Arabidopsis thaliana: one gene and its partners. The protein of the gene in region 1 interacts with the protein of each later gene in a pairwise test. Each region holds a gene or a part of one and is shown in the gene's direction. Other genes may lie near its edges. The genes, in order: SYP111, SNAP29 and SNAP30.

What was found.
Region 2: the proteins of SYP111 (region 1) and SNAP29 interact in a two-hybrid assay, tested with the Arabidopsis thaliana proteins (one study listed by BioGRID).
Region 3: the proteins of SYP111 (region 1) and SNAP30 interact in a two-hybrid assay, tested with the Arabidopsis thaliana proteins (one study listed by BioGRID).

What each region holds. Positions count from the first base shown.
Region 1 is NC_003070.9:2,708,996-2,712,862, reverse strand, and holds SYP111 (syntaxin of plants 111), read left to right. Parts: upstream 1-1,862; 5' UTR 1,863-2,053; intron 2,054-2,143; 5' UTR 2,144-2,152; coding exon 2,153-3,085; 3' UTR 3,086-3,338; downstream 3,339-3,867. Other genes in the region: NPQ1 (non-photochemical quenching 1), read right to left, coding at 3,476-3,867. UniProt on the Arabidopsis thaliana protein: Involved in cytokinesis. Acts as a cell plate-specific syntaxin, required for the fusion of vesicles at the plane of cell division.
Region 2 is NC_003076.8:2,514,719-2,518,793, reverse strand, and holds SNAP29 (synaptosomal-associated protein SNAP25-like 29), read left to right. Parts: upstream 1-1,727; 5' UTR 1,728-1,822; intron 1,823-2,036; exon of another isoform or gene 2,037-2,039; 5' UTR 2,040-2,099; coding exon 2,100-2,447; intron 2,448-2,532; coding exon 2,533-2,626; intron 2,627-2,715; coding exon 2,716-2,837; intron 2,838-2,936; coding exon 2,937-3,028; intron 3,029-3,062; exon of another isoform or gene 3,063-3,107; coding exon 3,108-3,207; 3' UTR 3,208-3,442; downstream 3,443-4,075. Other genes in the region: AT5G07890 (myosin heavy chain-like protein), read left to right, coding at 1-467, 552-672, 764-931, 1,017-1,076; AT5G07870 (HXXXD-type acyl-transferase family protein), read right to left, coding at 3,443-4,075. UniProt on the Arabidopsis thaliana protein: SNAREs, soluble N-ethylmaleimide-sensitive factor-attachment protein receptors, are essential proteins for fusion of cellular membranes.
Region 3 is NC_003070.9:4,749,534-4,753,655, forward strand, and holds SNAP30 (soluble N-ethylmaleimide-sensitive factor adaptor protein 30), read left to right. Parts: upstream 1-1,898; 5' UTR 1,899-1,959; exon of another isoform or gene 1,960-2,047; coding exon 2,048-2,422; intron 2,423-2,525; coding exon 2,526-2,619; intron 2,620-2,822; coding exon 2,823-2,947; intron 2,948-3,030; coding exon 3,031-3,128; intron 3,129-3,211; coding exon 3,212-3,311; 3' UTR 3,312-3,471; downstream 3,472-4,122. Other genes in the region: AT1G13880 (ELM2 domain-containing protein), read left to right, coding at 59-214, 305-1,434; PAP2 (Purple acid phosphatases superfamily protein), read right to left, coding at 3,961-4,122. UniProt on the Arabidopsis thaliana protein: Vesicle trafficking protein that functions in the secretory pathway.

The sequences.
Region 1 (3,867 bases):
AGGCCTCAAGGTTAGACATTTCTGGACAGGAAACTGTTTTCTTTTTCGTTAAGTGATCTTGACCGTCCATTTTGGATTTGGAATTTTAAGATCTAACGGTGGATTAGTGATTATCAGGTTTAGTCGGTCAGAAGAAAACTAATAAATGGATAAGGTTCATGACTTCTCGCAGATATAAAGGAACAAGTATAGGAAATTTTCTCATGACTTTGAATACATTTAAATGGATATGTTTGGTTTTTTACCATGCTTTTATCTGAATACAGAGTTTTAACTATGTTAAGTGGATATATATTATTTTGAAGAGTATGTTTAGCCAATTTAAGTAACGAATTTTAAATTTACCTATATTAATATTAAACAAATGGATTATATAGGTCATGAACCAAACAATTTTGAGAAAAATAAATGATACAGTTTCATCCTCAAACATTTATCAATCAAGTAAACAACAAATTAGGCGATGAACCACCAAAATGAAAGATTATTACTTTATTAGTCATCTGCAATCAACTAGTGAAGGATTTTACTACCAAACAAAAGAAAAAAAAGTAGTGATGGATAAATGGATTTGGATTTTAAGGAAGATAGTTTGCCAACACATCACCCACGTGGGTCTCACTCTCTCCACCACAACTCTCTCCTTTAACCTTTTTTATGAACTTTATATTATTGGAGATTTGCAATTGCCACCTCTTTAACAAAATAATTGGAGATTGCCCTTTTTAGTTTTTTGGTTTACATCTAACCCCCTCAATTCCACATTGCACAAGTTTTCGATCGATTCACGACAATAAGTAGAACAAACGTAACAAATGTGACTAGAGTTGAACAGCCAAAACAATCGAAGCAACTTTATTTTAATGTAAAACAAGCGTTATGTAATATTTTTTTGGGCGGCAAACAAATTTACTATATTTAATTACAAAAACAGAATAATTTTTTAATTAGAAAACAAAAAGTTTAAACAAAACAAATGTGACGAATGTAGAATAGACAAAACAATCCTAACAAATTTGTTTTAATGTAAAACAAGCGTTACGTAATCTATATATTTTTGTCGGTAAACTAATACTATTTTATAACCATGAAACGTTACAAAATTTAGTACATACTAACGTTATAGTAATGTAGTGACACAGTTTTTAAAAACATTTTTCAAGCATTACAGAATAAATATTGAATTGCGACTACAATAAATATTATTAAATTATTTTTTTATTCGAATATCATAAGGAATTTAATGTGATTAGTCAAAATTTTGGGTATTATTAAGTTTATAGAGATATGATGTACATTTTATTTAAAATTTGTCTACGATATTGAAACAATTTTGAAAATATTACAAGAAAAATAAAAACTGATTTCAAGTTTAGAGACCAACAAGCTAGTGGAGATGTTTTATTGGAGAGTCGTTTACATACGAAATTAGAATTAAAATATTATATATTTGAAAATATCCTAATAATTTGAATGGTTCAACTAAGGTGTATCGTAACAAAAGAAACTATACCATAAGTTTTCCAACATAAAAAACAAAACACAAGAACCACAATTTTTGTATAAATGGTGACAAATGTGCAGCTAAGAACACCTCTTCTTTGCTTTCGTAAATCGTCACCAATGATGATTTGTCGACAAAAGCGATGTCATACACATAATTACAATTTAGTCCCTATATTTTCTTCTCAGTTTCGATATCTTTAAAGCTGTCTCAATCACACACGTCGGCACTAAAACATACATCTAATTACAATTTAGTCCCTATATTATTTTAAAGTTTCGAAAGAAATTCACATGAATTTAAAAATAGATTTGAAGAAACAGAAACAGATAGACAAATGGACGACAACGGATACATCGCCAAAATATAGCCGTTGGGGCGAAGAAATCACAGTAACGGCTAATTTCTCCTTTTTCTTATATTAGAAAGAAAGCTTTCTCTCATCTCACAAATCGCTAATCAAATTCTATAGTAAGCTTTACTTCACACTACTCTCTCACTTTCTGGGCAGAAACTTTGTGGATCTAGAAGAACACACTAATCAGAAGAGTATGTTGTATTTTCTTTGATTTTCTCTTGTTTGATTCTGTTACAATCACTGCGATTCTCTCTGATTCTTGTAAAATTGTTGACTTTCAGGTGAAAAAGATGAACGACTTGATGACGAAATCGTTTATGAGTTACGTTGACTTGAAAAAAGCAGCGATGAAGGATATGGAAGCAGGACCTGACTTTGATCTTGAGATGGCTTCTACGAAAGCAGACAAGATGGATGAGAATCTGTCATCTTTCTTAGAAGAAGCAGAGTATGTGAAAGCAGAGATGGGTTTGATTAGTGAGACGCTGGCTCGGATCGAACAGTACCATGAAGAGAGTAAAGGTGTTCACAAGGCAGAGTCTGTGAAGTCTCTTCGTAACAAGATCTCTAACGAGATTGTGTCTGGTTTGAGGAAGGCGAAATCGATTAAGTCGAAGCTGGAAGAGATGGATAAAGCCAACAAGGAGATTAAAAGGCTCTCTGGGACTCCGGTTTATAGGAGCAGAACCGCTGTGACTAATGGGCTGAGGAAGAAACTTAAGGAAGTGATGATGGAGTTTCAGGGGCTGAGGCAAAAGATGATGAGTGAGTACAAGGAGACTGTTGAGAGAAGGTACTTCACTGTCACTGGAGAACATGCTAATGATGAGATGATTGAGAAGATCATCACTGATAACGCTGGAGGTGAAGAGTTTCTCACGCGAGCAATTCAGGAACATGGTAAAGGAAAGGTCTTGGAAACTGTGGTTGAGATTCAAGACAGGTATGATGCAGCAAAGGAGATTGAGAAGAGTCTGTTGGAGCTTCACCAAGTGTTTCTTGATATGGCTGTGATGGTTGAATCGCAAGGTGAACAGATGGACGAGATCGAGCATCATGTGATTAATGCGAGCCATTACGTGGCTGATGGAGCTAATGAGCTGAAGACTGCAAAGAGTCATCAGAGAAACAGCAGAAAATGGATGTGCATTGGTATCATTGTGCTGCTTTTGATCATTCTCATTGTTGTCATCCCCATCATTACCAGTTTCAGCTCTTCTTGAGATACTGGCTATGTTCACTCCTTTTGTTTTGTTTCGCTCTTCTTTGTACCAATGGATGTCTTAATCCTTTTGTGTTCTTCAAGGATGTCTTAATCCTTTCGTGTCTTGTATCCAATTTCAATGAAATGGTGAATGTTTACAAAGATACCCAGTTGACTTAATCCTCTTGATCATTCTAAATGTTGTCATCCCCATTGTTAACACTTTCAGCTCTTCTTGAGGTACTATGTTTACCAATCGTTGTTTGTTTCGCTCAAAGGATGTTTAATCCTTGTGTTTTCTGTATCCAATTGTTATGGAATGATGATGACTGTGTACAAAAATATTACTTTATATGAACCGAACACAGTATGTATAATATAGTTTGTACAACAATGGTGGTTCTTGTTTCTACCTGACCTTCCTGATTGGCAAAGCTTTCCCAAACAATTTTTCAACCTCACTTGCTTCCATTTTGATCTCATCCAAAAACTCCATCTCTTCTTTACTTAACTCTCTCACGAAATTCTCCTCGTCTTGCTTCAGTTCATTAAATCCTTCAGCCAATCTCTGGAACAAGGTCATCTCAGTCCTACCGACCTTCTCCACTTCCTTCTCTACCTCTTCTTCTATCTCTTCAACCTCTTTTACGATTATCCTTTCACCTTCTTCCACTGTCTTCTCAATTCTCTCCACGAGCGCAGGTTCAGGACCACATGTGTTATCCGTTCTAATGAATGTGCTGAAGTCTCTGCCTATGCTTTTTGCTGCTTTTTCGAGTTCTGGTATAATGCTATTGGGTA
Region 2 (4,075 bases), on another chromosome or scaffold:
TTGTGTATGTCTAAATCCGAGCATTTGTTGTTGTTGCAAGAACTCGAGAGCAAGGAAATAGAACTACAGTGTTCGTCTCTTACATTGGAGAAACTGGAAGAGACCATCTCGTCCTTAACATTAGAGTCCTTGTGCGAAATAGAAAGCATGAAGCTTGATATAACAGCGTTGGAGCAAGCACTCTTTGACGCTATGAAAATCCAAGAAGAAAGCATCCAAGAAAAAGATCAATTAAAAGGAATAATCGAAGAGTCCCAGTTTCAGTCTCAAAGGGCAAAAGAGAATGTCAAGTACATCGAAAAGCAAAACGAAGACCTGAGGGAGAAATTTACTGCCTCTGAAAAGAGTATCAAAGATTTCTTTCAAAGTACTAAAGAACGGTTAGAAAGTGAAGATGAACAGCCTCTAAATGCAATGTGCTTCTTCGCTGAACTGAGCCATGTGCTTCCAGTGTCTAATGAAGTTCGGTAAGCTCCAGTTTAAGGCTAATTTATTAAGTCATCAAATTGAGTTATCCCCGTCCCTAATAATGTTGGTTTTGTGTCTCACAGCAATTGTTTTGATGCTATCATGAAGAAACTAGAACTTTCTCAGAATGTGAATTTGATTGATAAAGTGGAGGGTATGGGGAAACAGATACATCAGCACGAAGATGTTGTAAAGCAACTCAAAGTACTTTTGAAAAACTGAAGAACTCTATTTCCTTCCTTTGTTACCATTACAGAATCCAACTAGTTATACCTGCGGTTGTTGGTTTGTGCAGGAAGAACTGAAACAGGAGAAACTGAAGGCGAAGGAAGAAGCAGAAGACCTTACACAAGAAATGGCTGAATTAAGGTATAAGATGACATGTTTGCTTGATGAGGAACGCAATCGCCGTGTGTGCATAGAACAAGCATCATTACAGAGAATATCCGAGCTAGAAGCACAGGTACTACTTATGTAATGCTTCCTTGTTTTTGGTCGAATATGTGAAAATGGAATCTAATCTCTCTTTTCTTTCCTCTGTTGTTAAGATCAAGAGAGATGTAAAAAAGCCTGCTTCCAATGAAATGCTGCCTCTTCCTGGGTTATGAAAAGTCTTGAGCTTTGATGTTTACCTTTACACACATTTCTGAGTCTCATCCATGGGTTTTCTGTTGAAACTGAGTGTGGAAAGTGCTCGAGTGATTGAAAGACGGATTGCAAGTTTGGATGTTGATTTGTATAGAAATCAAATGGTAGGGTAGTCAGAAGAAATCCAGAGACTTGGAAGAGGTTTGGAGACGCAAACAAAAGAAGTTTGGGTTAAGAGTTTAGCTTTAGAGATTGATGTTTTCTTTATTCTGAGTGTACATAAAAATTGCTTGGAACAAACATTAGAAATAAAAGTCGTTCTAAGGTAATACATAATTGCATTTTCTTTGATGTCTTAACAAGTCTCTAAATATTTACTCTGCAGCAAATTGAAAATTGATCTCCAACCAATTCTTCCATACCTTATGTTCTTTTCCTCTTTATAAATTGAAATCTCAAACATTTTTCTTATCAAGTTGCTTTGATAAAATCTGTATACATTTTCTTTTTCTTTAACGATACCTGTACTTTTATCTAAAAGAAAACAAAAATAATTACTCTTGGTAGATTTTATTGATAAATAGTTTAATACAAGAAAGTAAATAAATAGGAACAAAAGAAAACTCTTTTTCAACAATTGTGTTTTTTTGCTAAGGTTTCTCACCAGTTTCCTCTATAACGGACTCCAATATTTGAACTCGTTAAAGCCTCTTCTTCCTATCAACCTTTCTCTCTCGGAACCTCTCAATCCTACTTCAATTTCCAGGTACTAATTCGTTTTTTTCTTTCTTCTCGTAATCTTCCAAGTCGATTTAGGTCTACTTTGATTGTTGGAAAATTGATCTTTTAGGAATCGATCGTTGATCAAAAGAGATAGCAGTTATAAATACTTGTTCTTGCTTTTTTTCAACTTCAAAGTTCAGTATCTTCTGGTAAATTTCGAATCAAGGATCAATAGCAATCTTAGTTTTGGATTTCTGCAGGAGAAGTTGTTTTCTTAGTTTTGGATTCTCTGATACAGTAGAATTTCCCCTGAACCTTCTATGGCTCCTAAGAATTCCAGCTGGAACCCTTTTGATGATGAGAAGGAGGCTGCTAAGAGTTTCAGTTTGAACCCTTTTGATGATGATGATGATGACAAGGAGGTTGAGAAAAGATTCACTTCATCCTTGAAGCCCTCGGGAGGTAAAGAGAACCAGACGGTTCAAGAACTTGAGAGCTACGCTGTGTATAACTCTGAGGAAACAACGAAAACCGTACAAGGGTGTTTGAAAGTTGCTGAAGAGATTAGATGTGATGCTTCTAAAACTTTGGTTATGTTGAATGAACAAGGAGATCAAATTACTAGAACACACCAGAAGACGGTTGATCTCGATCATCATCTTTCTCGGGTGAGTCACATACGACCAGAGAGGTGTTTTGCAATCTCTTTCTTGGGGATGATCTTTATTGTATGTTTTTTTTGTTTGGTTTCAGGGTGAGAAGATTCTTGGACGCCTCGGAGGTGTTTTTTCAAGGACTTGGAAGCCAAAGAAGTCTCGTTCTATAACTGGCCCTGTCATAACCAAAGGTTTATTCTTCTTTGGTTGATGATCTTTACTTCTAAGGAATGAGTCTTTTGCTTATTAATTTATCTAGCTATTCATATTTCCTGAGCAGGTGATTCACCTAAGAGAAAAGTTATCGACTTAAAGACTAGGGAAAAGCTGGGACTGAACCCTTCACTCAAACCAAAATCAAAAACACTTCCTGAAGCCGTTGATGCTTATCAGAAAACACAGGTTCGGATTCTCTCTTATGTTCCTTCTGGGGTTTCAAAAGTCGTCTCTTTTTGTTTGTTAACCAAGATTCTAAATATCATGCTGTGTTAACAAATGGAGATTGCAAAGCAAGATGAAGCCCTTACCGACTTAAGCGCTCTTCTTGGCGAGTTGAAAAATATGGCAGTGGACATGGGAACAGCAATCGAAAGGTTTTCCATCAAGTCTCTCTATATGTATACATATTCTCTAAGAGCTTTCTCGTTTCTGAAGGCAACACTGTAATCGCAGGCAAACCAATGAACTGGATCATCTTCAAGATAATGCTGATGAGCTCAACTACAGAGTTAAGCAATCGAACCAACGGGCTCGCTATTTACTCCGGAAGTAAAAGTAGCCAGAACTCTGTTCATAACCAAGCTCGTCCGCTTCTCCCCATTCTTCTGATGAATTTGTTGCTTAAAGTCAAACATAGATTTTCAATATATTAGTTCTTTTCTTAATGAAGTGGAAACATTTAACAACTGCAGAATACAGTTAGAGTAACAAGCAAACATTTGGTTCCAAAGATTTGTGTTTGAAATAAAGAATAACTTGAGTTTTGTGTCTGGAAAATATGAATAGGATCAGGTGGAAGAAGAGACAAGAGACATGAACTCTTGATCTGATTCCAAAGCTTCCATAAACTCTGGAAGTAGACATACTTCCAAATCTATACTTGCTCCTCCTTGTCTTCCTGGATAAGCTGATACCTTCCCGTCATACTTACCGCCATAACCGCTTCTAACCGCCACCGCTTTCCCCATCCCAAACTCGCTTCCGTACTTGTTAAACCTTGGAGAACTTCCCATGTGAACTATGTTCAAATTGGAAAGTCGATATGCTTGCAACGGTAAAGGAGACTTCAACATTTGATCTATTTCGTAAGAGATCTTTTCGCCAGTGTGTTCGGTAACAGCTTGATGCAGTTTCAAAGCAATCCATCCAAACTCATTCTCCAGTAGATTACCGATTTTAGTAGTCGTTTTCACAAGAGAGATGTAAACTCCAAATTGATTCGTCGGCAATGGTGGATTCATTCTTGATCTGTTTCCAGCAGCAAACCTGCAAGTAGTTTCTTGATCATTTGGTAGTTTTCTTGCTCTTGTAATGCTTCTCCATATCAATGCGGTCAGAGCCTGAAAAGAAGAGATCATTGTTGTTCCGCATTCTTGATTCGCCTTTGATTTCAGCGATCTCACTGTTTCTGATGAGAAATG
Region 3 (4,122 bases), 2.0 Mb from region 1:
GGTTCACACAGATAACCTTCACGCCAAGTAACTAATGGCTTTGGTTCTCCTTTTACAGGTTTTTTAAGAATGGGTTTCAAGCGAACGTTTGACGCTGAAGATGTTCAAGAGCTCAACGTTAAGAATGGAAGACAGATTAGTTACTGTAATAAGCTGGCCAAACTAGATGAAGGAGTTCCATATCGTCTTTCACTGGAGAAGCCAGGTGTCGTAGGTAATAATAACACCTTGTTTCTTGCAGAGGGGTTCACATGATAAACTTAAGCAGTTCGCTTAATGATTATCTGTCTTTATCATTTAGCAGGATATGATATAAGTGATCTCTACGGGTATAAATGTGAGGATAACGTTGACAAGGGGTTTGAGACCAATGCGCCTTTCTCTTGGATCACAACTGGTTTGTCTGAGGAGGATTCTCAGTCTGGAGCTACGATTCAGTCTACCATTTCTCATGAATCTCCTGAGTCAGATATACCTTGGAGACCGGTTTGCTCTGGGGAAGAAGATGGCTATTGGTGTCCGATTTCTCCTAGAAAAACGGTTCCAATCGGGTCAGATTACCAGGCTGATATTCCTGAATGTGTCAAGGAAGAGGCAAATGATCAGTCGGGTCAAGGTGTTGGTTACGATGAAGAACAAGTGACAGGGAAGTGCGTAATTCCAATGCCTGACTGTGAAACCGAGGTCTGCAAGATTGGTAAAGGAAGAAAGGAATGCATTTGCCTGGATAAAGGTTCCATCAGATGTGTACAGCAGCATATTATGGAAAACAGGGAAGATTTGTTTGCAACTATTGGGTACGACAGGTGTCTGGATATAGGTCTTTGTGAAATGGGGGAGGAAGTTGCTGCTAGACTAACTGAAGACGAGGAAGATCTGTTTCATGAGATTGTTTACTCCAATCCGGTTTCAATGGACCGGGATTTCTGGAAACACCTAAAGTCTGCGTTTCCTTCACGAACCATGAAGGAAATTGTGAGCTATTATTTCAATGTCTTTATCCTGCGAAGACGAGCTATCCAGAACCGTTCTAAAAGCCTGGATGTTGATAGTGATGATGATGAGTGGCAAGTAGAGTATGACAACACCTTTTATGGTGCTGAAACTCCATCAGATGACAAAGCCGAAAAAAGCCTCTCAAGAGACGAAGGAGAAGAGGTTAATGCTAATGAAGATTCGTACATGTCCTTTGAGAATCAGTCCAACGCAATCTACTCTCGATGTCCAGTTAGAAATAGAGAAGAATCCAACATTGGGAATTACTGGCGCCACTGCAATGATCTTGTGGATCAGTCGTATTCATTTGATCCTTGTGATTCAATACTGCCAGATCATTGTTGGACTAAGAACATTGATCTGCTTCCAACTTCAAACATTATCGACGAAATCTTTGGTCAAGACCACCCATGGGATGATTTCTCCAGAGGGAAGTAAATGAAGAATTGTCTCCCATGTCCATTGCTACTCTGCTCCAAGTTCTGAATCTTCTGTATGTAAATGCATTATTTAAGAAAATCTCAAGTTGGAAGTTTTGAGGGAGGCATGTCGTGTATAGTTTTATGGCCGTGGAAACTTATGTGTTTTTGATACTTTAGGTTATTTTTATTTACTATTTTTAGATTTTGTTGTAAGAAGATAAAAAAAATTCTTCAACTGTTTAATAAACTAACTTTTGTTCATATCTTTTAGTATACATATCTCACTTCCTATATGCACAAGCAAAACGAAATTAATATGGGTCTTGACATTTCTCCATTAAACATGTTAAGACATAAGCCTTCTCTCTGAAACAGTGTTTGGTTATTACACTCTTAACGGTCCCAAAATAGGGAGAAGCATAGGACGTTATTACATATCTCTGTCACAGGTTTCTATTTTTGGATAACCATTTTCTTTTTTCTAATCCCTGAAGTTTTCTTGATTATAATCTTTTTTTTTCTAATCTTTGAGATTTCACAGGTAACCAACCCATCAAATTCTATTTCTTCCTGATTCAATCTTTTTTATCAGTTTAATCGATAATCATCATCACCTCATTGTTACATAGATGTTTGGGTTTTTCAAATCTCCGGGGAACAATAAACTTCCCAATGAATCATCAAACAACAAAGGAGGAACAATCACTGCAGGAAGAAGGACTTCTTCAGAACCAATCCTGATAACACCAGATTTCGACGATGACGACAAATACAAGAACGGTTTCAACGATTCTGGTGGTCTGCAGAGCCAAACGACAGAAGAATTAGAAAAATATGCAGTTTATAAAGCTGAAGAAACAACCAAAGGTGTTAATAATTGTCTTAAGATCGCTGAAGATATAAGATCAGATGGTGCAAGAACGCTCGAAATGTTGCATCAGCAAGGTGAACAAATCAACAGGACTCATGAAATGGCTGTTGATATGGATAAAGATCTCAGTCGGGTAAAACTTTTTTTAATTTTTCTTACTTTCTTCGATACGAAAATGTGAAATTATATGTTCTGTTTTATGGAGCGTTGATAAGAAAAAATGTTTGTGAGATCAGGGGGAGAAGCTTTTGAACAACTTAGGAGGAATGTTTTCAAAGCCATGGAAACCAAAGAAGACTAAAAATATCACAGGACCTATGATCACACCAGGTTTTAAAGCTTCCGAGCTCTTGATATTGATTGGATAAAATAATGTTATGATGATCATGTATCTTATAATATCTTAGAGAAGGGTTGATTCATACCTAGCCCGTTAATAACTCATATAATCTCAATCCTTATTGTATTCACGTTGTTAGGACTCTTGATCATGTGTATGGTGGTCATGTTTAATATAGTTATCGAAATTTTAGATAAACCGTCGAAGAAGAGCGAGAATCACAAGGAAGAGCGGGAGAAACTTGGTTTGGGTGCAAAAGGACGATCGAGCAGTCAACCAGCATTAGATCAACCAACAAATGCGTTGCAGAAAGTTGAGGTTTGTGTTCTTTTTACAAGTTTTTGCATCTTATATGCTTTCTTTATTAAGAATACGTATTAAAAGGTGTATGTTTAATGCAGCAAGAGAAGGCAAAGCAAGACGATGGACTTTCAGATTTAAGTGACATATTGGGTGATCTTAAGAGCATGGCCGTTGATATGGGATCTGAGATCGACAAGTCAGATAACACAAATACATACTTTCATACATTTTATGCTTATGTTTGTAGAATACTTACTATTGTTGGGGGCAAATTTGCAGGCAAAACAAAGCTCTTGATCATCTCGGCGACGATGTTGATGAGCTTAACTCTCGTGTTCAAGGAGCTAATCAACGGGCACGTCACTTGCTTTCCAAATAAGAAAACACCTTCCACAAAATACCATTGTTCTTATATGTATATTATATTGTATCATTCTCTCTTCTTTTTTTTACGTTTGAACAGTTGTGATTTTCTTCTTTATTCATTCTTTGCTATGAAAATTGTCAATATTAACGCATTTGATTCAATTTTTTTTCTCAAGCTTAAATTTTCCAGACAATATTCCATGAGTGTTTAATCCTAATATATTGAATTGATCCAATCTAAATCAAACCGATCCAAATAAATTAATCTAATTTACCTTTTGATATTCAAAAAGCATATAACCAAACAAAAATAGAAAACATCAAATCCATACTATAATTGGTTACACTTATGCTTTGGCATAATCAACATTCCAATGCTCGATTGATTAGCCTCTACAATTGTTGAATGTATATATACTCTCATACACTACATAATGTAATTACAGCAAAACTTCTTCAATCTGTAATTACAGCAAATTCTTCAAAAAAAAACACATGAATCATACTATGTAACAAGAATCACTATTATTATAGTGCACAAAAACTTATGTTATATATCTTCCCAGCTGTAGTTGTAAAGAAACATGGTTCTTACCGTGGGAAAAAAAGGATACTATACAAATCGTGCCTCTAAATAATAGACTCAGTTCAACATTATGTGATTATGTCTCCTCGTTCTTGACTGGGATCCAACGGTTTCCAGACGAAGATTTCTTTCCCCGGGTAAAAAACCCGATAATGAACCCTAAAAGCACACCCACAACCATCAAGCCTGCTCCTTTGGCATACCACAAAGCATTAGATTCTGATTTTCCCATAAGTGT